4 linked regions of the Diceros bicornis minor genome follow. The protein of the gene in region 1 purifies or fractionates together with the protein of each later gene. This does not show direct contact. Links are inferred from orthologs where the notes say so. Each region holds a gene or a part of one and is shown on either strand. Other genes may lie near its edges. The genes, in order: EGFR, EMD, CANX and SLC3A2.

Region 1 (7,702 bases):
AGTGCCAGCTCATGGTCAGCTCATGGTACACAGTCACTGCACATGCACCACAAATTGAGAGGTAGACCCTTCTTTCTCTATTCTTCGACAAGAAAGTATTTGTCTCCAGCAATTTTTCATTGGTTTTAAGACAAAAGTGTAACCTGGCTCACAGGTGGTCAGATATACTCATTTCTGATCAGTACCATATATATATGCCTACAGAATGTTAACCATAATAATGATAAGGTATAATCATGAGCTTTGATAAAATTTGTGCTTTTATATTACTCCATATTTGAAATATGCTAATTTGAAGTGAGGTCTATCATGATATATAATGTATTATGACCTCTGGACCAAAATCTATCAACAAATGTAGATGAGATGAGGAAGAATGAGTTGGATAGAGAAAGGAAGATAAGGGAGAGAGGAAAACCAGAGATGAGAATCATACCTATAAAGTGGCAATAGCATTATTTAACCAGGAAGGGTGAGGCTGCAAACTTGAATGCTTACAGTAGCCACGCAGGCCCCATGAACTGGTGAATCAGGCTTGGTGGTGTTGGTGAGAGCTGGAGACTTAATGTCCTTTCTGAAGGGGACAGTTATCACCCAGCCAATTGCCATCTTGCATGAAAGCAGACCCAGTTGGCAGTTGGCCAGCACTTCCCATTTTTCAAGAGAAACATAAAATTTAAAATCATATTTTAAATATGAAATCTCCTGATTTTTAAATGATGCCATTAATTCAATTAAAAGAAATATTGAGTGGGCCCCACAAAACCACATCTGTATCCTAAACTTGGTCTGCAAGCCACCAGTTGCAACCTTGAGGCTAATATTTCTAATGATAACCACCCCTGAGACAAGTAGTGACACCTTGGACAAAATTATTTAATCTCAGTTTTAAACCTTTAACATAGGCAAAGCATTGTGCAGGGTCCAGAAATTTCCTATAAGATCCCGATGCAAAGTAATTAACAAGCAACAAAGCCAGAAACTAATGTTCAAAACAGAGATCCTGCTTTCCAAGCATTACATAACCCTCAACCCTAGAGATAACGATAAATACTAATGACATACAACACTAATAAGAATACTAATGACAAATGAATGCCTCAGCAGTTTTGTGTCAGCATATTATCCCTGAGAAAGAAGTTGTTTCTTCCATATTCTCAACTCAGAGTCAAGTGCATATAACTTGACTCAAAAGAAGAGAGCAAATGGCGGAGGAAACCAAGAAAGGCTGCCACCAGGAGTGCCCAGGAACCTCAACAAGGTCACCTACTGAGGTCACTGACCCTTACCTTACAGAAATAGGCCATGCCTGCTCACAGTACAAGATTGCAAAGGTATAAATGGACAGACAGTTGAAAAATAAGTCTCCCTCCAAACCCTGATCTCCAGCTACCTAATTATCCTCCCCAGTGGCAACCCTGTTACCACATTCTTGTGTCTTCTTAAAATGTATCTTTAGAAGAGCTGTTGAGTCCATGTACATTGAAATAGAAGCCTATGTTAGAAATGCATGTTCCCACGGAATTTTAGGATTGGAAGGGACCTGGTTCAGTCCTTAATTCACAGTCTCCCTTAGCACTGCTCCTGCATACAAATCTTTCTAAGGATGGAGAAACTCATTCCACTCAGAGGCAGCTCATTCCACTTTTAGATAGCTCCAGTAGTTTATAAAAGATAATTTTTTTAATTCTGAAATCTGCCCCTCTGATGTTTTTCCTCATTAATCCTTGCTTTGACCTCAAAGGCCAGAGAAAACAGGTGGTCAAATGCCTCTGGCCTAAGACGGAACTCAAAACATTCGAAGCCTTCCTATCATCATCCTGCAAAATAACTCCAGTTTCTCCTCTCCTTCCACAAGGTATGTGATTTCTGGGGATTCCCTGCCATGTTCCTTCCAGAAAAGATTAAACTCATTTAAATACTCAGAAGCCTCTTCCAAGAGGAAAAATGCTCATCAGAGAAGGAAAAAAAAAAAGTTTCCCATTTGTAGATGGCAAAGAGAATGAACAGCTTGTGTTAGGAAAATTGACAGCACATATGAGAGTTAATGTGGGATATACTACGGTTGCAGTACATGCTTGCTAATATGGTGTACGTGGATGCTTTATCTAGGAAGTTTTTGGCCAAGCAGAAATTTTGGTTGTACCTCCTCTAAAAAGTTTCCAAGATATTCTGAAACAGAATTTGGGGTCCCAAAGTCTCTATCTGTCTCAGGTTTAGAAAAGTTGCAGCAAAAGAGTAAAGAAGAACATGGCCTAGATTTGGGTTCAAGGCTGGCCTCATACTAGCAAGTACGCTTGGGGACTTCGGACAAGCGATTTATTTAATGCTGCTAAGACACAGCATCACCCTGTCATAAAAGGCAGACAAAGGTGTAACCTGGCTTACAGCGGTCAGATAAGCTCATTTCTGATCAGTACCTAGCAGCATGCAGCCAGGGTTCCTGGTGCTGTTCCTGTGGCGGCAGCCTTCGCCTGGGATGTGGCCTGGGATGTGACTTGGGATCACTCCCTGCAGAGACTGGATGCCCAAGCACCCTCTATGCATAGCTCAGCCTAGGCAAGGCTCCGTTTTCTCAAGAGGATGTCATTTCTGCCAGCTTGGCCATTAGTTTTTTTACTTAACAAGTAACACAGTTATCAGTACACTCCATGTACCTGCCAAGGGGTACAAAAGCATCCTGAATGCCTCACAAGCTCAGAGCAGAAACTCAAACTTAACACAGGTGTCCCAGGAGGATCTTTAACTCACCCGTTCCTCTCCCTTCGCTGGGATCAACCCACTATTGGGTTGTGTGCCTGAAGTGTCACACTGTCTCCTTGGGGAATTGTTTTCACAAAGCTCTGCTTCTTGAGATGCCATCAGATCATGTGGAGGGACATTATAAGAAGACAGCACCGTGAAGGTGGTGCTGTCTATTCTAAAAGCAGTCAGTGAGAGCTGGGATACCTTCACACACTGTGTGCTTCGGGGGATTCATGGGATAAATTTCTATGCAGTCTTAAAGATTAGTTGTAGCTTCAGTTGATTAGTGTATTAACATATGGACAATAGATTTGTGCCACCTCTCATGTTTCCTTGACAGATGGCTTAGAGCCAAATCGGTGGCCCTTGCTGAGGAAATGCAGGACCTGGGTGTGCGCAGGTCTTCTCTAAGACTCTCTCCTGGCTTCACTCTACCTTCCACTGTTGTGTTTCCAGTTTGACCTTCTCTAATTTGTGTAATTTTTCTGTAGCTGTGTCTTTACATACTTCTTGAAGTCCTTGTTCGGAACATGTGGAGGGAACCAAACCCATAGCCTGCAGAATCTTCATAGCCTTTTCCACCCAGGGGCTAAACGAGTTCAGAGGGCTCAGTGGTCTTCCTGATTTCTTAAAACAAATGAACACAAATGACTCTCAGTTCAGAGGAAAAGTCATGGGCTCTGTGGATGGTGAGGAGCCCGGTGCCCTACCCTTGCTGGGTGGAAAGGAAGGATGCACAGTTCCTCTCCTCCATGGACAGGAAAGGTCCCAGTCTTAACTCCATTTCCTTTAGGTTTGTGATCCCTTCTTCAACAGTGGGGAGACCAGCGCTGAACCTGCCTGAATGTCACCAGTGGATCTTGGGAGGAGAAGAGGGGATTTGGTTGTAAAATGGGGCCTGAGGACATGTATCCTGTGGGCGGAGGGGCAGTGGGAGTAGGGCAGACTTCGCTGAGAGAGTTGAGCTCAAGTTCCTGCAGCCCGAGAAAGCATACTTTCTTCTGGCCAAACGCTTAGCAGATTTCCCTGGCTTTTCTCCTGCTTGGGTTACGTGTGCTGTCTCAGGACAATGGGGCACCTGGCTTCTCTAAAAGTGTAATTTTTCGCAAAGTTTTGCGAGGTAATTTACCCCATTTATTTGCTTTTCAAGTACCCCTGGATGATTCCCGGCATATGAAACGCTGTGGGTTCCCTCGGTACTCATGCATTCATTCAACAAACATTTCCCAAGGCCTGTCTCTGTGCCAGGAGTCGGGTGCCCTCATTTCAGACGATTTCGAGGGTGACAGGATCTGAAGGCCTCTCGTACCTGAGAGCACCCTCTCAGACACCTGGCACAGCAAGGCGCAGCAAAGGACAACTAGGCTGCCAGGCTAGCCTCCGACCCCCCACTAGGATCCCGGGGTGCTGTGGAGGAGTTGGGGGCCAGAGTACAGGGGTTTTTTTCCTCATCCCATCCTGGGCCTAAGGCTCAGCTAGTCTGCCCAGAGCTGGTACAAGTTCGCTCCTCAAGTTAGAGGGTGGGGCGGGGAAATGGGAACCCTGTACAAATGAGGATCGACGAAGGCTGGCCCCGGAGAGAGCAGGGCGAGTCCTCGCGGACCGGGTCCTGGGGGACAGCGCAGGGAACGCCCCACTCGGAAGTTAACTCTTACGGGCACCCTCGGGTCCCGCACGCCGCCCCCGCTCCCGCCCTCACTGAGCGCTCGGGCCCACGGGGGCCACCGCCGTCCCCACCTCCTAGTGGCTGCCTGCCTGTGGTCCTAGCTGCTGGCTCTGCCTCCCTCCTCCTCGTATTCTGCTCCTCCTCTGCTCCTCCCGATCCCTCCTCCTCCTCCTGGTCCCTCCTCCTTCCAGCCCAGCCTTCGCTCCCGCGCCCCCGCCCCGCGAGCTAGACGTCTGGGCAGCCCCCAGCGCAGCGCGGCGGCCGCAGCCTCCGCCCCCGGCACGGTGTGCACGCCCGCGGCCAGGGCGGCCGAATCCCGCGCGAGCCCCGAGCGAGCCCCGGCCGCCGCCTCCCGGTCCGGGCAACAGGCTACCTCCGCGTCCGCCGGAGTCCCCGCCTCGCCGCCGCCGCCGCGCACGGCGCCCGACTCCGACTCCCACTCCGACTCCGACTCCGTCCGGGGCTAATTGCGGAGACCCGGAGCGAGCGTCTCGGAGGCAGGATGCGATCGTCGGGGACGGTCGGCGCCGCGCTCCTGGTGCTGCTGGCTGCGCACTTCCAGGCGAGTCCGGCGCTGGAGGAGAAGAAAGGTAAGGGCGTGCCCCCCGGCCCCGCGCCGCCGTCCCGGCCCAGCCCGCGCTCGGCGCACCGGCTCCGCGTCCCGCGCCGCCCGCCGCTCCTCTCCTGTTTCCTTGAGGGTCGGCTGCGCCTCTGGCCGGGACCGTGGGAGGCAGTGGACGTTTCGTTTCTGGGCTGGGCGAGTCCGCGGCGGCCCGAGGAGGGGACACTCCGGACGCGGGGCCGCGGGGCTGCGGGCGGGTGTGGGAACTGTCGCCCGGAGCTCGGCGCCCGGAGCGCTCGCAACTTTCCGGCTTCACTTTCCTGCCTTCCTGCGCGGGGTCGACGGCCGAGGGAGAAAACTTGACACGGGGTGGGCGCGGGGCGGCTCGTGTTTCCGCACGTGCGCCCCGGGCTGTCACCTGGGGGTCCAACCGTGCCGGGGGACTCCCCCGAGGGGCTTAGGGAAGCTGAGGACGGACCGGCGGGAATCCACCCCACTCCTCTCCGACCTCCTGGGACAGGAGCGGACGCTCCGCGTCTCACACTTAAGGTGGCTCGCTGCACCCGGCCTTGCCAGCCTGGGTCCCGGCCCCGCTCTTGGGTCCTTGCAAGCCCTTTTCCCGGGTGTGGAGCCGCAGCCTTGAACCGGGAGGCCGGAGAACTCGTCTGCCACTACCTACCTGTGGCTACCGGGAAGGGAGGACTTAGTTTCGTCTTCGGCAAGAGAAGGAGGGTGAGGTCGGACCCCGCCTGGGGCGCAGATCCTTCGCTCCGCGCGGTCTTGCTGCCGCCCCGGGACCCAGGCTCCCTGCCAGCCCAGAGCTCCCTCCCCGGCGCCCTCGCCCCTTGAGCGCGTGGGTCTCGTGAAGTGGTGGCTTCCTGGGAACTCTCGAGATTTGGCCCCACCTGCTGCCCTTTGGTCACCTCTCTAGGCTTTGCGGTGGAGCTGGACAGAGCGGTGGGACCGGCCGCGGCTGGACAGCTGGGTCCTGGTGCCGACCTCTCTGTGGGCGGAACCCATCTGGCCAGGTCCCCATAGTTTTTCAAAATAAGGCTCATAGCAAACTTTCCACCTCAAAATCCCCAGATTTTTTCTTTGGGATGTTTCTTTTAGCTTTTTGAAGAGTATGACATTGGGCCAACCAAAATATTAAACTTAATTGAAAAAAGAAAGGACTGATATCCATGGTGCACGTGTGGCAAATGTCCAGACCCAGCCTGAGCGAGTCTGGCTTCGTGAGTACCGACCATATAGGCACTTGACCTGAGAAACATGCCTCGGAAGGTTTAATTGCACAGTTTCAAAATCGAGCAGCCCGGGTTCCAAGAGTCAGGTCTGTACTTGCTGGTGATGCCATTGGCACAGAGAAGAGGAGTTTGAGGCTGAGTGCGTTTGTTGGGGGAGCGTTAAGGCATAAAGCAGTGGTTCCCAAACTTTGTTGCAAATTAGAATCACTTGGGATTTAAAACGAAACAACAAAAATCGATGTCTGGCTCCCACCTCTAGACATGCTGATTTCATTGGTCTGGGGTGAGACCTGGGCATCCGGGTTTTTAAAAGCTCCTCAGGTGATTCTGTTGGATAGCGAGGTTTGGGGAACCCTGGCACAGAGGAGAGATTGGTCAAGTCTTGGGAAAGATTACCTGCCAATGTAAGGAGCTCTTTTGGAACTTCTGGAGTTCTAACAATCTTGCAAAATGTGGGACAGAGGAGGTGGGAGGTGATTTCAATACTAAGGGATTAGTCTTTTCCCTGAAAGCTTTTCCTCTCTATGGAGGCTGCAGGGTTCTGCCTCCTCCGTGCTGTGCCCCAGTGGCTGTGAGCCTGTTCCTGAATTGGCTGACTGCAGGGTTCTCTGAGGCAGGTGATCTCTCCCTTTTTGCTGCAGGGGACCCCATCCTTATTCTAGATTAAACTCTTAGAGCGCCTCCAAAGCATCACTTCTCACTCCAGAAATGATCCCAGCTCATTGCTGTTACCTGTTTGAACACTGCTATTAGTGCTTGGAGATTTGTTTCTGAGAAGAACATAAATACCACTTATTTTGCCTGTTAGTCCCATATTTGCTTAAAACAGAATGCTCCTGAATAAAATAGTGAGTGTAGGTGAACACATGTCATTCAGTTAAAGTAACATGAAAAGACCAAATTTAAGGAGCAAATTAGTAAAAATATAAGATGAGGTCTTTTTACAAAAAGCGTCGAAGACTCATATCAATCAAATTTAGTCAGTTTTGTTCAGGAAAATTTACTCATTTTAAAGAGATTTATTTGGTTCTGAGATATGGTATCTTCTGTTCTTTGTTGCACTTAGTACTGTCAGACACTGTTTCAAGTGTCCTTTTAGTCCTTACATCAAGCATGTGATGTGGGTACCCTCATTATATGTGAGGAAACTGAGGTACAGAGAGGTAAAGTGACTTTCCCAGTTAGTAAGAGGCAGAACCAGGATTTGAACTCAGGCCTTCCAGCCCCAGAGCCCTCCCTCAACCACCTGCCTCCACTGCCTTGCGTGAGTCCTGGTTTTAGGAAAGCCAGGGTAAGTGTGTGTGAGCGTCTAACGTCAGATGCTGGGACAGGGAGGGAAGGGCCCGGGAACAGGCTCGTTAGGAAGGCCCCTTGTGTGAGTCTGTTCACGGTCTAGACTGCTGCTCACAATTACTCAGTGGTCACCGTGGCCACCTTTCGTGAAGGCAGCTGTCACCAAATTAACCGTGAACTTGGAAATTG
Region 2 (6,900 bases), on another chromosome or scaffold:
AAGTGGAGGAAGGTGGGCACAGATGTTAGCCCAGGGCCAGTCTTCCTCAGCAAAAAGAGAAGGATTGGCATGGATGTTAACTCAGGGCTGATCTTCCTCACACACACAAAAAAATAAATAAAACAAGCAGCTTCCTGGAAGAAACGGCGGCAGCCAAGCACATGCTTTGCTTCCTAACCATCTCCCACCCTTGGACACTGGGGTTGGCATCCGCTTGTCCCGGGTAAAAGATCCACAGCAGGCTGTGCATAGGCAGCCTTGCCTGCACTTGGGGTGGGCTCTCCACGCTCCATGGTGCCATAGTTATTCTCATGATTACCAGAGCTTTGAGTTATGAGTCAGGGAACATACCCCATCAAGCAAAGCACCAATGTGCTTTGATTCACGGGTAGGATGTGATTCCTAGGCCAAGGCCAAAAGGGGGAACCCACGAAGCCAGATGGTGATTCTGGAGACCAAAGCTCAGAGGCCCCGAGCCAGGGGAGCCCAACCCTCTCCCAGCAGAAAGAGCCCACACTTTTAAAAATAAATGGTCTTTTTATTGTGTGTCCACGAAAACAAAGTCAGGGTGGCCTTTGGTTAATCCCCCCAAAGAGGTGACAAGGAGGCATGCAATGACAACAACAACCACATTCTCCTCTCCAGGAGAAGGGTCTTACCCTCCCGGGCCCTAAGGATCAGAGGCAAGTGGGGCCAGGAGGCTCCGGAGGAAGGCCTGCCCAGGCCCACTATGCCATAGAGGGCCTGGGCGGGCTGCCTCCCTCTCAAAACAAGGCAGGACAAGGCAGGGGGAGCAAGCACTGCCCTGGGCCAGGCCCAGCACCCCCAAGCTAGAACACACAGAGAAGCACCCCCCCACAGCCCCCCAGCAAACACTGCTAATGCAGTCAGCCAGGACTCCCTCCCGAGAGCAGCTGGCCCCGAAGCCAGACCCTCAGGGCTCCATTCAGAAGGGGTTGCCATCGTCAGCCTGCATGGAGTAGTAAACAAAGAGCAGGAAGGCTGCAAAGACCAGGAACAGGAGCATCTGGCCCCAGAGCGGGACCTGGCAATCCTGGCCCAGAGCCCCAGGGGCCTGCTTTTCTGGCCGGATGGCACGGCGGGTGAGCCATGAAGGGTGGGGAGCTGAGGATGAGGACACAGGAGAGGTGGAGGAGGATGTGGGGTAATAGGACAGGCCCAGGGAGCTTCTGGAGATGCTGGAAACGGGGCGGTAGTGCGCGATGCTCTGGTAGGCACTGTCCCGGCCATACATGGGGCATTCCCTGAGGCAAAGAGGGAGCAGATGGGCCAGGAGGGCCTGGGCCCAGAATCAGCCCAGCCCCTGGCCCTCCCTACCACTCACCTATCTTTACTCTCCTCTTCAGAAGAGAAAAGACTGTCATCACGCACCTATAGAAAAGAATCAGGATGAGGAGAAAGGCTGGCAGGGTCAGTGTGGCCCTGTCACATCCCTCAGTCCAAACTTCCCCTGCTGGCCTATCCCGCCCATTGCTTAGAGGCCCAGGCCCTGCCATACTCCAGAACCCTTCTGAGTTCCTGGCCTTCATTCCCTGGGCCCTGGCCACTTGCTCAGTGACTGTCCTGGCTGCCTGCACCCTACTTTCTGCCCCAGGATTCTCAAAATAAGCTCAAAGCTAGATCCAAGACCAGGGTGCAGGGCATGTCCCGTATGCTCCAGTCAAACAGTTCTGACAGCCCGCCGAGGGCCCTGACCAGGCAGGTGTCTGCTGACCCCACCTCTCCCTGGAGGCTTGGGAGACACCATTTGCCCCCTTGACTTAGCCAAACCCAGCTCTGACCCCCTCAGGTTGTACACAACTACAGACAACCCGACAGCCGGCTCACCTGGTGGTGAAAGGTGTCAGCGTCTGAGAGTGAAGCCGAGGGCTGGCGGAAGCCCTTGGACGTGCCCACAGACTCAGGCTCCCCGTAAGTCCTGGTGCTCAAGTAACTCTCCTCATAGTAGTCATCATTATAGCCTTAGGAAGGGGGCAGCAGTAGCAGAGCGGGCAGCGGTATCCCCGCCTGGCCCGATGGCCCTAATCTGAATCCCACTTTGGGGCCTGTGACATGGTTTCTCCCCTCCAGGGCTGCTGAGGGACGGCGGGGGTTGAGGTCTCAGGTTCTCCCTGATACTGGGGTCCCTGAGGGAGTGGAATGAAGGTGTCAGGGTGCCCACCCCACGCCTGCCTTACCCTTGCTCTGGTAAAGTAAGGCGTCCTCTTTCTTGGGCAGATCGTACATGTCCGAGTCCACGGAGGCTGAATCTAAGTCTGAATGAGGGGGCCACGACCATTTGCCCTCAAGGCTCCCCTCCCTTTTTCCCGTGTCCCTCCCGGCCAGCGTTCCTGCCACACCCTCGCGACTCTGTTCTCCCCGTCGCCCAAACCCTGTCCCCACGGGCCGCCAGATGGGGCTCTGGGTCGGGGGCCTCACCCGAGAACCGGTAGGAGAAAGACGATGTGGAAGAGTTTGGAGGCGACAGCCTCCGCCTTTGGGTCTCGTACTCGAAGATTTTCTTTTCGTAGAGCTTGCGCGTGGAACCTGGCCAAACACGGGGTGCGGGGCGGTCAGGGGGGCGGGCTGGGAGCCCGGGGGCAGCGCGGGGAGGGGGTCCCGGAAGGGGACGCGAGGGCGGAGCGCGGGGAGGTGGCCTGCCACCGCGTACCCACGACAGGCCCGTGTGGAATGTTGTACTGGCGCAGCACGGCAGCCAGCTCGGCGTCCGACAAGACCGCGTAATCGTCCATGGTGCGCGGCTGAAGCCTGGGGGCGACTCGGGCCTGGAGACACAGACCAAGCTACGGCTGCCTCGGGAGCGGCTGCGCTCGCGTCACGCCTGCGTCCGCGTCACGCCTGCGTCACATTCGCGCCCTGGACGCTGGCTCTGCGAGCTGCGCGCGCTGCGTGGGGCGGAGCCAGGCCGCGGGGAGCAGCCGGAATAGACCGGTCCGATCGTGGGAGCGGGAGGGGCGGGGCTGGCGAGCCCAGACGTCTCAAACAGGCAGGATTGGCTAAAGGCGAAAGAGGGGCGGGGCGTGCGCGGGAGCCCAAGCGGCTCAGACCGGTCCGGCCGTGGGAGCGGGCGGGGAAGTGTGCCCGGGGGAAGGGGTGGGGCCGGCGAACCAGGAGACATCACTCGCTGGTGCTTCTGGGCGAGAAGTGAGGAGGGGCGGGGACCGCGCGCAAGGGGAATGGGCGTAGACCTGCCGGGACTTGAGAGCGGGGTGGGGTTGGCGAGGCAATATGTCACCCGCTGGCGTGTTCCGGCGAGAAGCGAGGAGGGGCGGGGTCTGCGCGAGGCGAACCGGCAGAAACTAGCCAGGATGTGGGAGCCGGCCAGGGCCGGCGCGTTTGGGGTGCTTGCTCTCCCTGAGTCACGTGGGCTTCACTCCGTCCCTACGGCCTCCGCCACTCCGCCCTCACCCCCGGCCCGTTCCCAGGCTCCAGCGCCTGGGGTTCCCCGGCCACGCCCCGAGAGCAGCGGGAAAGTGCCAGATCCTAAGAGCGAGTCCTTGGACAGCGCGGTCCCGGGCCAGGCGCCCCTGCGAGCGCTTTGCGCGCGTGCGCCACGCCAGGGAGGCGGCTGCCGGCGGGGCCCGGACCCTAAGCCGCCCCCCAAACCCCCTGCCGCAGGCCGGCCGGTGGCTCTGCACGGCCCTGGCCTGCGCACCTGCACCCGCGGGTCCCCACCGCCTCCCTCCGTCCCTCCACGCTCCACCGGGAGGAAATGGGGCAGTGGCCCAGGAGGCCGCCAAGCACTCCAGGAGCAAACAGCCTTGGAAGGGGCCGGACGTGCCAATAGGCACTGGCACGGGGCGCCGTGTGATGCGTGCAGAGACAGCGAGTGTCCGCCTGACCCACCATGACGTCCACCTGGGGCACTGGGGGTTTCCTCTCCTGTCAGAATGGCCCCTGAGCTTAGTGTGACCCAGGAGGCGGCCAGGCAGGGTCAGGAGGGCCCTTCCAGACCCACAGGGACCTGCTCGGGGGTTCCAACAAGCTTTCGCAGGCTCTCAGCACCTGGGTCTGGGTAGGCTTCAGGGTCCTGGTAGTCCAGAGGGGGCCCTGAGGACAGGGGGGCCAGAAGACTGAGCGGGGACCATGGAAGGCTGCCATGGCCTGCCAAGGTGGCTGGACCTTCACTAGGAGTTGGTGAGGGCCTTGGTCAGTAAAGAACTGTCCTGTGGAAATTGGAAAGGAGGTGATAACCATGTTCTAAACCAAGCCAACTGATAGAGTATGGGGCCAACTGAGGTGCCCCTCCCCAGGCAGGCCCAGAACTGGGAGCACGGGGTGATGAGGAGCTGTCCCTGGTCTCAAATGACAACAGGTGATAAGGGGAGAAGAAGAGAGGATGGCTCTGCTCAGACCCAGGCTGGCTGCCTAGCTAGTGAGGGTCACAGAGCAGTTCTCCATGGAGGTTTGCTCAGCGGGTGGAGAAGAGGTAGCCACACAGGGAGTGGTGAGGAGATGGGGTCCTGGTTTGACCCCACACAAAGACCCTCAGAAGAGTTGCTGTGGGCCAGGTTTTAGAGTAAAGGCGAGGCCTGCTCTGTCTCCCGGAATAGGAGGAGGAGGTGTGTGGGTCCCCAGACACGTGCATGGCTGTAGAGGGGGGAGAACCCTGGGCACAGCAGGGGCTTGCTGCTTATCTTTCAGAGCAAGGAGGGAGATGGCGTTTGGGCTCTGGGCTGCTCAGAAGCTGCCTCCTGGAATTTTGAGTTTTGGCAAGATCAGACTCCCCAGCACCTCTCCAAGCCTTCTGTGGTGCTGGCCCCTGTCCCGGAGGCCCAGTCCTCCCCCATGCCACCCCTCCCCATGTGGATCCAAGTTGTTTCCTTATGAGGTCAAGGAATTCTAGGTTTGCTTTCTCCCCAAGGAACACCCCCTCTCCCAGCACCTGCCTCGGCACTCTGCCTTTTATGACCCCCCCGTTGCCCTGCTATGAGGTCCCACCATGGATGGCCCCAGGAGACTGAACTGCAATGGTCCCCTGCGCCCACCCGGTTAGCACCTGGAGCCCAGGTCCAGCCCCATCGCAGTGCAGACCTGTCCCAGACCACCAGAAACCATGCGAGCCCTTGCCCATCAGTGCTGAGAGGCCTGCACCATTCCATCACACAGAGGGGGAATCAGGAGAGGGAGAAGGCTTGCCCAAGGGCCCGATTCTCCCATGGATGGCATGGGGGAGTACCTAGTCCTCGGGGCAATGACCTGGCCAGTGTGGCCAGCGCGGGTACCGTGTCATCAGAGGGCCTGTTGGGGGAATCTGTGGCCTCCAGGGGAGTCTTCCTGGGAAGGGTGGGCAGAGTTAAAAAAGAAGAGGAATTTCTCTGGAACCACAGCTGAGGTGAAAAGGGTTAGGAAGCCACAGATTCCAAGTCAAGAATAAGAAGACAGTTTCTCTTTCAAGGATGGGCAATGGCTCCTAAGCAGTACATAGTATAACTTGGAATCCCAGCAAGATTGAAAGTTATAGGGGAAAATAATACCAACATGAATACATTTGTCAGCATCCATGTCCAAGGAGCCAGTTGTTCACTGAGCTATTAATGTTTTCTTTAAGGTCAGAATCTTAATACATTAGTACAATACAAAACTTAACTTTTCTCTTCAAGGATGTTAAAGATCCTTTGAGTTTCGCTTGGTATTTGAATGCTTTGAAACATTGCTCAGATAGTAACAAAAGTCATAAGATGATGATTATTGTGAAAATTAATATGTGGAAGATTGTCACAATTACAATCAATATAAAATGGGGAGTGGTCAGTGGACCAAATGCGTCTCCAAGAATGCCTTGTGACCCACCCTAGAACACAGCAGTTCATCTTGGTACTGCTGGCACGACCAGTTGGGGATTCGGCCTGCCTTAGCAGCAGGAATGTAGCTGATTCTAGCGGTTTTCCAAAACCTTCAACACAGGAGAAAAGGTCTTTAATTGATTAGGATCTTCACCAGGGAACAGCTGGTGCTATACAAACCTTCATTCCCCTTAAACCTGGAAGAAGTAGAAACCAAGAGCTGCGCATGTTTTGTGTGTTTTGGAGTGTGTGTGCAGTGGGAGGGAGGCAGTAGTGTAAAGAGAGGATTTAAATGGAGGTGGGGGCCAAAGATCCAGCCACATGGCCACCGCCTTGTTTGTGCCCCCCACCTATTGTACCCCTGGCTCCGACTGCAATGCCTGTGGTAGGTGGGTCTCCCTCCTTGAAGAACAGCCACCTCATGGACCTGAACTCAGGCCACTCACCTATCAAGTGACCATAACCCACTGCTCACCCCAGCAGTGGGGGGGGGTTCCCACCAGAGGGAGCAGGGAGGGACATGGAGCCCCTGGCACTGCTAGGAGATCCCACTGTGAGTCAAGGTGGAAAGGTCATTGCAAGCAGAGCTAACAAAGGCAGCAGTGGCTGCAGGGAGGCCTGGAGGGCAATCAGCGCCTTCCTGTCAGTGTTCAACTGTAGATGGCCAAATGCATTTAGCAGGTGTAACCAAATTTCTTCCTGCCTCCCTCCCTTCTTTTCTTTCTCTCTTCTAATGAAGTAGAGTAGAATAGAAAATACCAAGTGCTTTTTGGGTAGTGAGAGAAAGTCTCCTTTTCTGGATCGTTTGTCTCAGTTATTTCTGTCAATCTGTGTATGTGTGCTTGCACAGCTGGGCTCAGGATGTCAAATGTAGTTCTTATTGGGGCTTGTGGGCAAAATGTTAAAGTGACACTGCTTTATGTGGCCTTCCCCAAGGAAGTGACAATTGAGCTACATCTGAAGCTACCAGGAAATGGGCACATAGAAGAGGAAGAGGGAGCCTGGCAGTGCCAGGGCGTGGCTGTGCCCACCCAGTTCACGAACACTTGGCTCTTTGGCTGCAACCCACTGCACGCTCCCAGACTTTGGGACT
Region 3 (7,038 bases), on another chromosome or scaffold:
CAACACTATATATACTTCTTAGGGTGGTTGTATAACAAAATGCACGTAAAGTGCTTATGACAGTGCCTGGCTTACAGTACATGCTCAACATAAGCAGTGATTTCTACTATTACTAGGTATTGCCCAGAGACACCATTTAAGTTTTAATGGTTCTAAAACTCTGAGTTTTGGGCCGGCCCCGTGGCTTAGCAGTTAAGTGCACGCGCTCCGCTGCTGGTGGCCCGGATTCGGATCCCGGGCGCGCACCAACGCATTGCTTCTCCGGCCACGCTGAGGCCGCATCCCACAAACAGCAACTAGAAGGATGTGCAGCTATGACATACAACTATCTACCGGGGCTTTGGGGGAAAAAAATAAAATAAATAAAATTTAAAACTCTGAATTTTAAGGCAAATAAGAAATTTTAAGTCTTACATTGGAAAGGAACCAGTTAAAAGGAATTTGACTCCAGTCACAGACAAACCATTTTACTACTACTTTTTGCACCTTCTGATTTTACTACATGTGCATCTAGTCAAAAAATAAAAGCACCTAAAGAGGAAAACAAGTAAAGACCACTGTAAATGCTTAGCCATTTAAAAATAGACATATACTGCCTTGTCTACAGTTTTGAATTTTGTTTCTCATTGACAGGAACATTAGAATTGGTTTTTCCATAGCACTTTCTTTTTTGCTATAAACTAAGTAAGTTTAAGATGTGAATACTCAAAACATATTGCTGAAGATTCTCAAAAATTCTTTAAAAAACAAAATTCTCCAAATAATTTTCACAGCTCACAGTTAACATTAATTTAAAAGCAAATCTGCTGCAGGTAACAAAGCATTCATCAGCACTTTCCTGACAAAGTTCTAGAGTAGGCTATATAGGCTACAACTACGTTCAAGAACTTTTATTATTTCCTAGGAGTTTTTATGAGCTGCCAATTCTTCTATTTGCACAGTTCATTACACTATTCAAAGTAGTATCATGTTCGCCATCTTATTTGTCCCTCTCAATAGCCCCCTAATAGTAAAGGATCCAGGAGACTTCTCATTTCCATTTTAAAGATGTGGAAACCAAGGTGGTTCATAAACTAGTTACCACACTGGGCCTGGAATTCAAGCCTGTTGAGCCTACATTTATGCTTACCAACTACCACTTCATTCCCTTAAGCTATCTCGCAGGGCAAAGTGAACTCTGTAACTAAAAGGATGCAATAGCCTGACTGCCAAAACTATAGTTACTTCTGTCAAAATGTTTACCCCTTGTGGTCCTTGAAGATAATGTACTAGTTGAACTGACAAGTTAAGATAGTAATGTGGGGAGGGATGCTGACACCCATTTTCAGATAGGTCAGAAAATGTGTCTGTTGTGTGATACATTCACTCCAGTACACAGTTCACTCCTGCCTTCTCATGATCCTGTTACCTGGCTTGTTTGCATGTGCACCCTGGCTGGTGCAAAGGAGAACTCTCCCACAGTTCTTTACCTCTGCTCTAAATATAATTATAGCAAATGCACAACATGGCATTGATTCTATTTATGACCCTCAAATATGGCTGGAAAAAGATGATACAGAATGCTTTTAAAGATTAATAGAATTCTTCCCTTAAAAAAACCCCCAAAACTCTACTTATTAAAAAACTCAGCAAAATATTCCATTTCCTAAATTAGAGGTAAAGAGACTTAACTGTGGTTCACCTTTGTCCTCCCAAGCTTTTAATGTTCAGCTCAGTTTAACTTCCCTCAACCAGCAATCACTTGTGTCATGCCCAACAGTTAATCCACTAGGTCCAGTTTCTTCCTCCCATCACCATAAATGTGACTTCAGGTCCTGCAAAATAGGACTTACCCAACTCAAAGAGTAGGATGTCAGTGTAGTAGACAAACTATTCAAACTACAATTATTTATTGCAATCATTATTTATGGAGCAGTTAATATGTATCAGATTTCCCTATCCTATTTTATACACATTTTAATTTAATTCTAACAACTCCATCAGCTATTATTATATCCATTACTTAGGGAGAACTGGGGCACAAAGGGTAAGTAAATTGTCCAAGTTCACATAGCAACAAATGACCTACTGAAGGACTTGAACAAGGACCTTCACTTTAACCACTACACCAAAACTGTCTAGCTCTCAACCATAACCCCAACGGGATCATAAAATTAACCGCATGACCTTGGGCCAGTCATATCAGAGCTCTGGGCCTCAGTTTCCTCCACTATAAAACGACCTACCCACAGTGAGCTTTTCGGTGCTTTCCTGCTTTTAATGTCCGGTGAATTTCCAACTGGATTACTCCCCACTCCCGATTAGGTGTAAATGTTAGGACGTAAGTGTTCCAACCACTGCGTGTTCTAGTACATTCTCCATACTCTTCAGGGTGCTAGGGTCCAGTCTTCGCTTTGCGGTTTATTTTCAGATATTGAACCTGTAATGCTAATCCTAAATACTCTCTCTCGGTCCGATATCACCTTTCCCCAACCCTAGGGGTACCGACTAGGCCCAAGCCCACTCCAGACCTTTACCCGGTTACTCCAGCGCACCTCGCGGCTTCCCAGGCAACCAGCAAAAGGCCTACGAAAGCCCTAGAAGCAAAGCCATGGGACGAAGTTAGCTTTCCCAGAGGTCAAGAGACGCTCCAGGGCACCTGCCACGCCTCCCGACGCCGGCGCGCGGCCTCGGCCCGGCGCCCCAACCGAAGTGGCCCAGGTTCGGCCTCGAGCTCACGGCCGGCGCCTCCGCCGGGGCCTGGGCCCTGGAAACCCAGCCCGACCCCTTGGCCAGGCCACGCCCGGCCCCCCTGGCCCCTCGGCCGCGACGCCGCGCACCCAGGCCCCAGGGTCCTCAGAGACCGAGGACGCGCGCAGGCCTCCCGTCTCACCTCGAGCCTCCGGGAACCGCCGGCGGCACCCGCTCCTTCTCCCGCCCGCACACCTGGCCCCGCGCCGCAACCGAGACAGCGGCAGACGCGGCCCGACCGTCACGTGCCGCAGATGCAAGAGGCCTCGGCTACCGCTGCCGCCGCGCGAGCGAGCCTCAGTGCGCTAAGCCCGGCCCTGCGTCCGCCCCTCGCTCCTGAGTAGTTACGGCCGGCACCAAATCCCGCCCCCCCGCGCAAGCTCCGAGATCCGGTTGGTCGGCGCGGCCTTCGCTCTATGCACCTTCCCGTACGCCCCCTAGGGCTCTTCTTCGTGGAGTGTGGGGATTGGCTAGGAGTGAGGCAGGAAGTGGCTCTTGGTTGGGCAGGAAGAAAGGGGCGGGCCGCAGCGGAATAGGGAACTGCGGGCGCGCGCGCCCTGGGGTGGGCCGGTCCACGGGACGTTCCCGCGCCTGGTTGCCGTGGTGCCCTAGTGGGCGCTGTGCCTGGCGTTTTGTCCCATCGTGTGTGGTCCGGACCCTGCTGGTGCCTGGACCCGGGCCCCGGTCCCCGGGCCGGGCATCCCGTTCCCTTCGCTGAGGGGGCAAATGGCAGCCGGCAGAAGAGGTGGGAGGTCGGGAGGGCCTTCGGGAAGGGCCAGTTCCCCGATTCTGCTAGTGCGGGGCCCGGACGGAAGCCGCAGCGGCTCTGCGGGCCGGCCTGGAGTCGTGCACAGCGCTGTGTAACAAGGCGCCGGCGTTCCTGCAGAGTCATCGCTCTGGGCCCAGCAGACTGCAGCGGCCTCATTACCCAACATAAAACCCAGTCTAGAATACTATAATCCAAGGTTATTTCAACTTTCAATTTGTGATGTTTCCTGAAGTTAGATTAGACATAAGGGCACAGACACCCGACAGGATTAGGAGAAAACAGTGGTGCGATGGAAAGGTTTCAAACACACTACAATTTTTGTAACCCACTTTTAGCACATCTTCAGTTTTCAATATGCTTAGAACCTCAGAAAATGGAAGTGGCCTAGGTTTTCCTAGACGTTTATAGGTCCTGGTCTCGGTCTGTCATTTGGTTACCCGAAGTCTGAATACTAGGGTGGAAAAAACTAGAACCAGTAGGTGTATCACCTATCCTAGTGTCCATGTAAATAATCCATAATCTATAATTCAAAATTGGGGTGAGTTTATTATGAGCCAACTTTTGAGGACCATAGCCTGGGCCTTCCTTCCCCAAGGAAGGAAGGCCACCAAAGAAGTGGGGTATACAGAGCGTTATATACTGTCAAAGAACATGTATCACATATGATGGCAAAGTCCCTTTTACAATAGCCACAAGATTGCCCTGCCAGAATAGCCCTGGCGGAATAGCTGTTGGACACAGTGGGGAGCAGGTCTGCTGTCTCAATCTGGGCAGTCACAGGATGAGTGCAGCAATCAAATCCTAGCCTAGTGAGAAATACTTATCCTTAAGGAAATGCCAATGTGGGGGAAGTTGCATTCTTATGTTAAGGGCATTTACTCTTCTCTTTGGGACATGGTAAAGTGGATACACAATGCATGTTTAAAGGCGACAGGCCTTGTTGGAAAAACAAACTCAGGCAGAACTAGTTTTACCCCAAATGGCTTCCTCATATGCTCTGATATATCCTATTGCTTGCCATTTATTTATCACTAGGATCCAGCTTTATTCCCTCCCACTACCTGGAAGGGGAAAAGAGAGGTCAGAGATTGGTGTTTGCATGAGTTTAGTATTCTCCAACTCTCAACCCCCAAATTTGTGTAAGAGAATTTTGCTTTCCTGTTTACCTGGGGAAGTGGATATTCAAGGCAGAATAATATTCTGGATGCCACATGTTCTGGACAATGAGCTTAAAAGGTAGTTACAGAAACTGTGTGAGCAAAAGAGCTCCTCCAGCAAAGGTAAATGCTAAAAGATGGTGATCCTGAAGAAAATTTAATGGGGTTTTGAGCTGGAAGGAACTGCTTTTGTCTAGAATGGACAGGTAAAGAGGTAAGACTTAAGCTGGACCTAGTAGGATATGCAGGATTTCTATAGGTGGAGAGTTGGAGGCAGGCTTCTTTACACGAGGGACCAGCGTATACAAAGGCAGGAAAATGGGTATCGTATGTCTGGGGACACCGCACACACGAGTGTTTTGGCTGGAGAAAGGTGTTCGTGAAAGTGATGGGAAGTCAGCTCCAGAGTCGGGTTAGGAGCAGGCCTTCAAGGCCTGGCCAAAGAGTTTGTAGGGAAATAGTTTAGATTTTGGATTTAGGTCATGATTTAGATATTTAGGAAGCATTATGTTAATATTATTCCAGGGAGTTCTGAAAGTTCTGAGAGAGACTACCAGCTATGAGGCCAGTTAGGAAGCTACTTCTTGCAGTTGATTCAAGGGCAGGATTAGGGAATGGCAGGTTGTATAGAAACAAAAGCATTAAATGTTGATACTGAAGAATGGACTCAGGCTGGGGAAAGAGAGGAACCAAAGCAGACACTCAGAGTATGAGCCTGGGTGACAGGAGGTGAAGTGTAGAGTAGCTTTTTTGTAGACAAACTTCCGCCTTGCCTTTCCTTTTTTTGGTGGGGGGGAAGATCAGCCCTGAGCTAACATCCATGCTAATCCTCCTCTTTTTGCTGAGGAAGACCAGCTCTGAGCTAACATCTATTGCCAATCCTCCTCCTTTTTTTTTTCCCCAAAGCCCCAGTAGATAGTTGTATGTCATAGTTGCACATCCTTCCAGTTGCTGTACGTGGGACGTGGCCTTAGCATGGCCAGAGAAGCGGTGTGTCGGTGCACACCCACGATCCGAACCCAGGCCGCCAGCAGCGGAGTGCGCGTACTCAACCGCTAAGCCATGGGGCCGGCCCCTGCCTTGCCTTTTGAAGCATCTTTTGGGCAATTTTCTTTCTCAGGTGCTTGATTGTCAGCTCTGTGAAATTCCTCCACTTTTTCTCAAGCTTTTGCCTTTTTCTTCTCTTCTACATCCTCTATGGTTCCAGCTGGAAAAGGGTATGAGATCTTTTCTTGATAATTCAAAGGGTACTTTGAGGTGTTAGAGTATTTCATTAAAAGAAATAATCATTTTATAGTTCTCAGATGTAGAAGGTATGGGAGATTGGGCTGAATGTATTTTAACCTTATGATATAATCTGTAAGATGGTTTTCAAAATAAACTGTTTATATCCATTTTAAAATGCACATACGTTTTGCCCAGCAATTCCACCCCTGGGAATATATCTAGATATATAGATAGATAAGATAGATAGATACAATAGATAGATGGAATATATCCACATACTGTACTTGTATTTAAAAGTATACACAATGATGTGCATTGCAGCATTGTCTGTAGTACCCCAATCCTAGAGACAACCTAACCTATCATCATAGAGAACTGGTTAAATAGAATATAGGTCATCCATGTAATGGTTCTGTCCTGCTGGAGAGCATGCAGTGAGCACATATATGTACTGATATAAAATGATTGCCAAGATTTAGTGTTATGTGAAAAAGCACTGAGTAATGTTTCCTTTCATGTTTCAAAGGGAGATATATTTTCATAAATATGAACTTGGACAAACAAGCTTACTGGAAAGATGCAGGAGAACTGCTAAGAGTGATTGATGCTGAAGAGGGGGCCTGAAACCCTGGAAGTGAGAAGGAGCCTTTTTAATAACATGTGTATATTATTTTTTCAATAAAGGATCAAATAAATTTCTGCTTTTATACTTAATTTTCCAAAAAAAGATAAAATATATATTTAAAACCACTGTGAACAAAATTGTTGACCAATTTGTCTTTCCTATCCAGCTACTTCTTATAACAACTTGCCCCTCCCACCTTCCTGAAAAGCCACCCTCATCCTTGCTCATCCTCACCTTCCTTTGCTTAAAGGAGAAAGTGGGCACCCAGCCAGAGGGAGCACCCCACATACCCATCCAGTCCTTTCTTACTGATTAGGTCAGTAACGGTCATTTCTCTGTACCCACACTCATCTGGCATTGTCAAATTGAGGTATGTAATTACGTTAACTGAAGTTTCTTTTATTACAGTGAAGTTAACATTTCTCACATTCATTAACCATATATATTTCTTCCTTTGTGAACTGTCTATTCACGTCATTTGTCCATTTTTCTATTATAGGTTTTGTCTTTTTCACATTGGTTTGTAAGAA
Region 4 (6,964 bases), on another chromosome or scaffold:
ACAGGACTCCTTCAGCAGTGTATATCAGGGGGAAAAAACCCCTTCAAGGTCTAATAGTGAGGCTTCCTGAATGATGTTTCCCCGGGCTAGACAATCCAGCAGTAGGCAAACTGCCAGGCTAGGTTGGGCAGAGCCAATAACAGGAAATTCTCCTAGCCTATTTCCTTCTGCTCAGCTAGACCCACTCAAACACACAAACCCCAGTGAAGGTTAAAAAAAATTCCTTTTATTTAGAAAGGCTAAAATGGCTGTATGCCAATTTGAACAGCTAGGTTGTATAAGAAATAACTTGAAAATGCCCTTTTTGATGTCTTCTAAGAGCTGGATTCCTGTAGAGAAAAAGAAAAGTGAGTTTTCTTACTGGATGGGAAAGACTATATGTACTATGAGTTTATAAGGGGCTACACCCCACCAGTTAACATTAAAAGGGCTGGCCTCCAGGTACTTTTATCATGGTTAGTCTATTAAATACTAAACACCAACATATGAACAAATACTTACCATTTTATGTGCTTTGATCTTTCTTCAGTCCTGGAAAAAATTATACAAGTCATTTTTTAACAAGTGATTTATTTTTCCCTTTCCCATGTTTAGAAACCCTTATGATCCCTCAGACAGTTCCTTCTGGAACAAACTTTCCTCTTCTCCTCCAGCTAGCCCCAGTGGGTTCACCTTTACAGGCTCTGGGACTAGAACAGGAGGTAAGACGTGTGAATGTTTCTTCACTGGGAAATTTTAACTTGGCCCAACCTTGCATCTGAATTCACTTACCTCTAACTTCAGACCGCAGTTGAGCAGAAATATGGCTTATGCTCACCCTGCAAAAGAATGATTAGGAATTAAGTCTCTCAACCACCCCTAAGAGTCCCTGTTGCTTGGAGAAAAGGCACATCTGTATAGGCTATGTAGGTTTCAACACATTTCACAGAAACTGCCAGCTAGTCCACAAAACTTCCTATTATTGTCACTTTCACTCCAAGACAAGCTCACAGCTCAGAGAATACCTTTCAGTCACAGTGATCAGACTGGGGCGGTATTGAACTCATCACTGGTGAGTGGGCATTTGTCACAGGTGGTTCAGGAATGGCCAGTCATGTCTCTGAACAGCTATCCAGACCAAAGTAGCACGCACACAAAAACTGGCAAATTTTATATAGCAGCCAGATAGTGCTGTGAAGGTATTTACCTCAAATCATTCTTGGGCTTCAGACAAGGTGCTGGACCTGAAAGAAACAAGACTGAATCAATAATGCTTACCTCTTGCATTAAAAGTTGTTCCCACTTAAGCCACCATTCCTAGAAAAATCAGATTTCCGAGTCTCAACAGCAAGTTATCAGCCGAACGAGATTCCATGTAAGTCATCATATACATAGACCTAAAAAGGCATTTGTTTCTACCCAGTGAGCTACATACACCAATACATGGTAATTACTCACCTCTGAGCAAATAAGCAGGCTACTGGAAACAGCACCTAGGGAAAGACAAAGCTGTGGGTGACAAAAGTTCCTTACACATGGTACCTCCCCTACTGTGTTCTCCAGTTTCTCAGGTGTTCATGTGTTTTCATTGTGAAGTCATAGTGAGCTAGTTTGCTTCATCATAGAAACTGTCTCCTTGGTGGCATAAACCATAGAGACATTAATCAACTAACCTTTTAATTCTGGAGGCTTTTCAGTAGTATACATTAACAAGCTGCTCCTGAATGAGAAAATCATGTAATTAGCAAAATATCTAAAACAGCCAAAGCTATTCTAGCTATGGTTAGTGGACAGGCCAAGAAATGCTAAGCAAATGCTACCAACAGGCATTTGCTGTACCTCAGACAGTTCCTTATGGAACAGGTTCTCATCCTCTCTCCCAGTTAGCCCCAGTGGGTTCACCATTACTGGCTCTGGGGCTAGAACAGGGGTTAAGACGGGATGCTTGCTTTCCTCACTGGCACTAGACTCTGGGTCAAGCTAATACCAGCAAGGTTACAAGTACTCACCATTCTCAACTCCTTCCAGGAGTTCGACCTGGGGCAGATCACTGGGCATCTAGGAGAAATAAGAGGCAGTCAGGGCTTTGGTAACAAAAAAAGAAACCCCATGATGACAAGATTATCCTTTGGATGAGTTCACATATATGCTAATTTACCACAGTATCGGGAGAGGCAACTTACCGTGAGATGAATTTATCATCTGGATGACCTGCAAAAGGGGAGCAAATGGTTATTAAAAGATACTAGTATGGAATAAATTTCTTCATTAATAGAAACTGCCATCAGAACTCTAACATGCTATTAACTGTCGTACCTCATGGAGGATCAGCATATCAATTCAAATCATCTGACAGTGACATGTGGATGAGGGAAGAGCACACCCTCACAAGAACCAACTGTGCTGCTGGGTTGCTCTCTCCCCAGGAAAACCATTCCAAGAACAAGCTGGAAGGAGCAAAAAGGCAACACTGCTCCACTGACCATTTGCTCTCCCGGTTGTGGGGAACACGGGAGAGATGACACCCCAATCCATTTGAACAATTACCTGTATTCACCCTGGGAAGCAGCTGAATTCCTCAGGACTGGTGACGAAATGCTGGAGACAGAAAAGCAAAGCATTATACGTACTTAAGAATAGCCATTCAAAGACCCTCGGTACTCTCGGCCCACTTCTCAGTAGTAAGATGACATCACTTTTAAGGTCAGCCATATGCTTGTCATTTTACGTTCATCATGGAGTGGCCAGCACAATTTGAAAGAGCAAGTTCCATCGAGACACTGTGCCGTTATCCATAACTGCATCAACCATTGTGTACCCACCTGGAGCATCACTGTAATGCTTGAATCGCACAGGAGTAGGTCTTGTCCCATCCTCCAACCTGTAACGTCTTTTGAGCCGAACCACATCTGAAAAATACCAAGAGCACCCTTTACTTAGCTAACATGCGACAACCTAACCGTCCCATGTTAGCGCCTTAACAGCTCAGAGCTAAAAAAACCCAAACATTTGCTGCGGATGGTGCTACTCAGAATTCTTACATTTTCTCCACTCATCCATCAGAGAGAGAGAGTTCCATTCCTAAAATCATCCCCGTAGCACATCCCATAGCACATCCACACACTCGACAATGGAGAACAGTGGTGGAGGATGGCTGTAAGCACTTACTCTAACAGGAGGCCTCTTTTCCAGGCTTCAGCGTTAAATCCGGCGCCTGCACCCTGCAGACAAGAGGACATTAGGTCAGCATTGGATACTTTGCCAAGGCCTCGTTTTCCGACTGCGTCGGACTTCGACTGTGCACGGCCCGTCTCCTCAGAGTTTCTTATCCTCACGGAGCTCAGTACAGGTCTGTGAAAAGGCTTCATCATAGAGACGGCCGCCGTCCCGGCCCGCCATCGCCATCTTGTCCTTCACAAAGCCCCGCTGCTGCTTCGACGCCTCGGCCAAGATCTCGTACCCCTCTCCCACCAACCAAATAGGTGCAGCACAGGGAGGCTTAGCAGGCACCACGGTCACCCGGTCTTTTTTAATGCTGGAAACCACACACTTACCAGAAACAGTGGAGAAAAATGAGGCCGAAGGGTCACAGCGAGACACTTAAATAGCACCTCGCAGGGGCCCACGGGATTTGGGGGGGGGGGGGCGGGACTATGGCGCGCGCACGCGCATAAGAAGAGGGCGTGCGAGCCTGGGGAGTTGTGGGTAGAGAGGGCGACCATTGAGTGCTCGTCCGCAGAAGGTGAGGCGCGAAAAAGGTACGCATGCGCCTGAGGGAAGTACGTAGACGCGCGCATCGCTTGCAGCGGGGTCTGTGCTGCGGCTTTCCGTTGAGTCTAGAGCGTTGGGGCCCGGGCTTCACGCCGATCCTGGTCTGAAGCTGTCTCGGTCACAGCCGCCTGTCCCCACACCCTTCCTTGAGCCCTCCTTGCCCACACACCCTAAACGCACGTGCAGGGTACGCTTTTATGGATCCCAAACCTCCTGAACCCTCCAGCGGCGTCGACTCGGTTCCGCACCAGCCGCCCAGCGCGCATTCCGGGCCTGGTGCTCAGGGTCCCAGCGCGGGGGGCAACTCAGGTACTGGGCCCCGGGCTGAGCTCGGGTGGGTGCCTTGCATGGAGCCGTTTCGGGAAAGTGCATTAGGCCGTAGGTGCTCCACTTGAGTCTTAGGGCAGGGTCTGATTTTTCCAGACCGGCCACGTATGTCCTGCTGTCTCGTCTGGTTGGGACCTTGGAGCTTGTCTTGTAGCGGGGCTAACGTTAGCAAAGATGTGGAGCACTATTTTAAGCACACTACATGAATCAAGTACTTTAGTCCTTCTAAATCCCAAGAGGCGGGTGCAATAACTACCCCTCTTAATAGATGAGGGACCCTAGGTGTAAAGAGCTGTTGCAGAGCAGCCTACAACTCTTTCCTGGTTGTCAAAGTGGTTCCAGTCATCTATAGATTGTTGTTATTGAGACCAACCAGCATTAGTCCAGTCGTTTGTGGAAAACACCTAGTGCACGTTTCATAAATATTTACTAAGCTCTTACTATGCGCTCTTCTGTGTGACCTCACCTACTAGTACTACAACCCTAGAGGAAGGTATTAAGGTAACGTTCTAGATGAGGAACCTGAGGCCAGCAGAGGTTAACTTGCTCTATGTTATCCAGCTAAGAAATATCAGAGCCAAGGTGCAAATCCAAGCAGTCTGATTCCAGAGCCTGCTCTTTTGACCGCTGTGATTTATTACTGTCATCACACACTGTTCTCAGGGTAGTCAGGGAACAAGCTGATACACAGGAAACAAATAAGAGTGATCCCTGGGTACGGTTTCTCAATCTTTTTTCATTGTTGTCTCCCCCTCCCCAGGAGGCTTAAAAAGACATTTTTCCCTCTAATCCTCCTCCATGAAATTTTAATACCACTGATATACTTTATATCTGCTTATGTACTCTGGCCCTTTGGAGGGCCAGAGACCTTTTTAATGTCTAAGATTTGTCTGGAGGAGTTGTCATTTCACTCAGAGAGGGCCTCTCTGATAAGGGTGACGTTTAGGCGGAACTCTGAAGGAAATGGAGGAGAGAGCCAGGTGAGGTAGAGTGTTCCAGGTAGGACTGGAGCGCTGGACTGTGCTTACAAATTTGTAGGTAAAATTACAGGTGGTGGTTAGGATTTTTAAAATAAAACTGGAGAGATTTTATGTATGTCAGGGAGAGATTGAAATTTGGTGGAAATAATGCAGATTTCATTATCCATGGAATAAATGTTGAAATTTTTTTTCCTTTGAATAAGGTAGAAAGGGGATGTTCCACAAGCAAAGAATGTAGTAGTCAAATAAAACGTGTGTGTGTGTGTAAATATATCTGCTTGACTGGTGCAAAAAAGCTGGAGTGTCAAGTAATAAGAAATGAGAAAAACAAGGTGAAACAATTGGTGGAGAATGTTGAATGTTAATATATTAACATCTTTTAAGTGTTTTCTATGGCACTTTCCAGACACTGTACTAAGTGCTTTATACATATTACCTCAATTCAAAAAATAGTAGTTGTTGGGGCCAGCCCAGTGACATAGCAGTTAAGTTCACGCACTCTGCTTTGACAGCCCAGAGTTTACAGGTTCGGATCCCGGGTGCAGACCAATGCACCACTTGTCAAGCCGTGCTGTGGAGGCGTCCCATATAAAGTAGAGGAAGATGGGCATAGATGTTAGCTCAGGGCCAATCTTCCTCAGCAAAAAAGAGGAGAATTGGCAACAGATGTTAGCGCAGGGCTAATCTTCCTCACCAAAAAATAAAATAAAATAGTAGTTGTTATTGTTACCATCCCCCATTTCACAGATAAGAAAACTGAGTTTTACGTTAAGTTACTTACTCAAGAATACATAACTAGTTTGGCAGAGCTGTTATTCAAATCCAGTCTCTACTTTTGTCCCTATTAAGAAAATTACCCAAAACTTGGAAATAGGCACAAGTGATTACTAGGTGTCTTTTGATGTAAAGCAGGCTCACCCAGCTTGAGGATTATCTGATTTTACAGCGGTGTGTACCCTTGTTTGATGTCCTATTATTGCTTGGGTATTTTACAATTGTATAAGATTGCCTTCTATGACATTAGTCAGTTTTATATCTACCTATTAGCAAATCCACATCAGCATTCTTTTTTTTTTTTGAGGAAGATTGGCCCTGAGCTAACATCTGTTGTCAATCTTCCTCTTCTTTTTTCTCCCCAAAGCCCCAGTACATAGTTGTATATCCTGGGTGTAGGTCCTAGTTCCTCTAAGTGGGATGCCGCCTCAGCATGGCTTGATGAGCGGTAAGTAGGTCCGCGCCCAGGATCCAAACCAGTGAACCCAGGCCACCGAAGTGGAACAGGCGAACTTAACCACTACGCCACTGGGCCAGCCCCCTGTATCAGCATTCTTGACTGATAATCCTTTCCTAAAATTCTCTTTTGAATCAATCTTGAATCTTATTTGTTCTCTTATTAATTAATTGGTTGAATAAAATCTTTGACCTGCATTCATTTTGTATTTTTATGAGTCATGTTTTAATTTTTTTCAATTATACTTTAACAACCCCTGGGGTATGCTGCCTTACTCCTCGGGTATGCTGCCTTTCATGGGTCCATTCATTTATTCATTCAAGAAATATTCATTGAGAGTCAAGATTTAAACTCAGGAAGTCTGACTCCAAAATTGGAACTTTTAGACAGCGTGTTAGCCCTATTTTAACACCATGCCTCCCTCCAGCTAACATTGTTACCGCACAAAATTTGTGTTCTCTGCCCAATGAGCATAAACCAGACAATTATTATGGCATCAACCTTTGAGGGGAGAAATCAGCTTTTATTCTATGAAATCAATCTCCAGGGAGACAGGGGGCGTGTGCCCTCAGATCTGTCTCCCCGATTCAGGTTTTGGGACACAATTTAAGAGGTTAGGGAGAACAGTTTGGCCCGCGGAAATGCTAGTGGGACGGGTTTTTTTTTGTTTGTTTTT

What was found.
Region 2: the proteins of EGFR (region 1) and EMD purify together in Homo sapiens (affinity purification with mass spectrometry; 4 studies listed by BioGRID and IntAct, with this or other methods). This does not show direct contact. The link is inferred for Diceros bicornis minor from reciprocal best matches to the Homo sapiens genes EGFR and EMD.
Region 3: the proteins of EGFR (region 1) and CANX purify together in Homo sapiens (affinity purification with mass spectrometry; 4 studies listed by BioGRID and IntAct, with this or other methods). This does not show direct contact. The link is inferred for Diceros bicornis minor from reciprocal best matches to the Homo sapiens genes EGFR and CANX.
Region 4: the proteins of EGFR (region 1) and SLC3A2 purify together in Homo sapiens (affinity purification with mass spectrometry; 4 studies listed by BioGRID and IntAct, with this or other methods). This does not show direct contact. The link is inferred for Diceros bicornis minor from reciprocal best matches to the Homo sapiens genes EGFR and SLC3A2.

What each region holds. Positions count from the first base shown.
Region 1 is NC_080780.1:11,022,636-11,030,337, forward strand, and holds the start of EGFR (epidermal growth factor receptor), read left to right. Parts: upstream 1-4,694; 5' UTR 4,695-4,913; coding exon 4,914-5,001; intron 5,002-7,702. UniProt on the Homo sapiens protein: Receptor tyrosine kinase binding ligands of the EGF family and activating several signaling cascades to convert extracellular cues into appropriate cellular responses.
Region 2 is NC_080781.1:138,282,721-138,289,620, forward strand, and holds EMD (emerin), read right to left. Parts: upstream 2,920-6,900; 5' UTR 2,754-2,919; coding exon 2,672-2,753; intron 2,548-2,671; coding exon 2,440-2,547; intron 2,277-2,439; coding exon 2,199-2,276; intron 1,983-2,198; coding exon 1,849-1,982; intron 1,393-1,848; coding exon 1,346-1,392; intron 1,266-1,345; coding exon 947-1,265; 3' UTR 518-946; downstream 1-517. UniProt on the Homo sapiens protein: Stabilizes and promotes the formation of a nuclear actin cortical network. Stimulates actin polymerization in vitro by binding and stabilizing the pointed end of growing filaments. Inhibits beta-catenin activity by preventing its accumulation in the nucleus.
Region 3 is NC_080740.1:92,651,340-92,658,377, reverse strand, and holds the start of CANX (calnexin), read right to left. Parts: upstream 3,009-7,038; 5' UTR 2,873-3,008; intron 2,577-2,872; 5' UTR 2,511-2,576; intron 1,815-2,510; exon of another isoform or gene 1,682-1,814; intron 1-1,681. UniProt on the Homo sapiens protein: Calcium-binding protein that interacts with newly synthesized monoglucosylated glycoproteins in the endoplasmic reticulum. It may act in assisting protein assembly and/or in the retention within the ER of unassembled protein subunits.
Region 4 is NC_080770.1:10,298,075-10,305,038, reverse strand, and holds the start of SLC3A2 (4F2 cell-surface antigen heavy chain), read left to right. Parts: upstream 1-3,943; 5' UTR 3,944-3,947; coding exon 3,948-4,059; intron 4,060-6,964. UniProt on the Homo sapiens protein: Acts as a chaperone that facilitates biogenesis and trafficking of functional transporters heterodimers to the plasma membrane.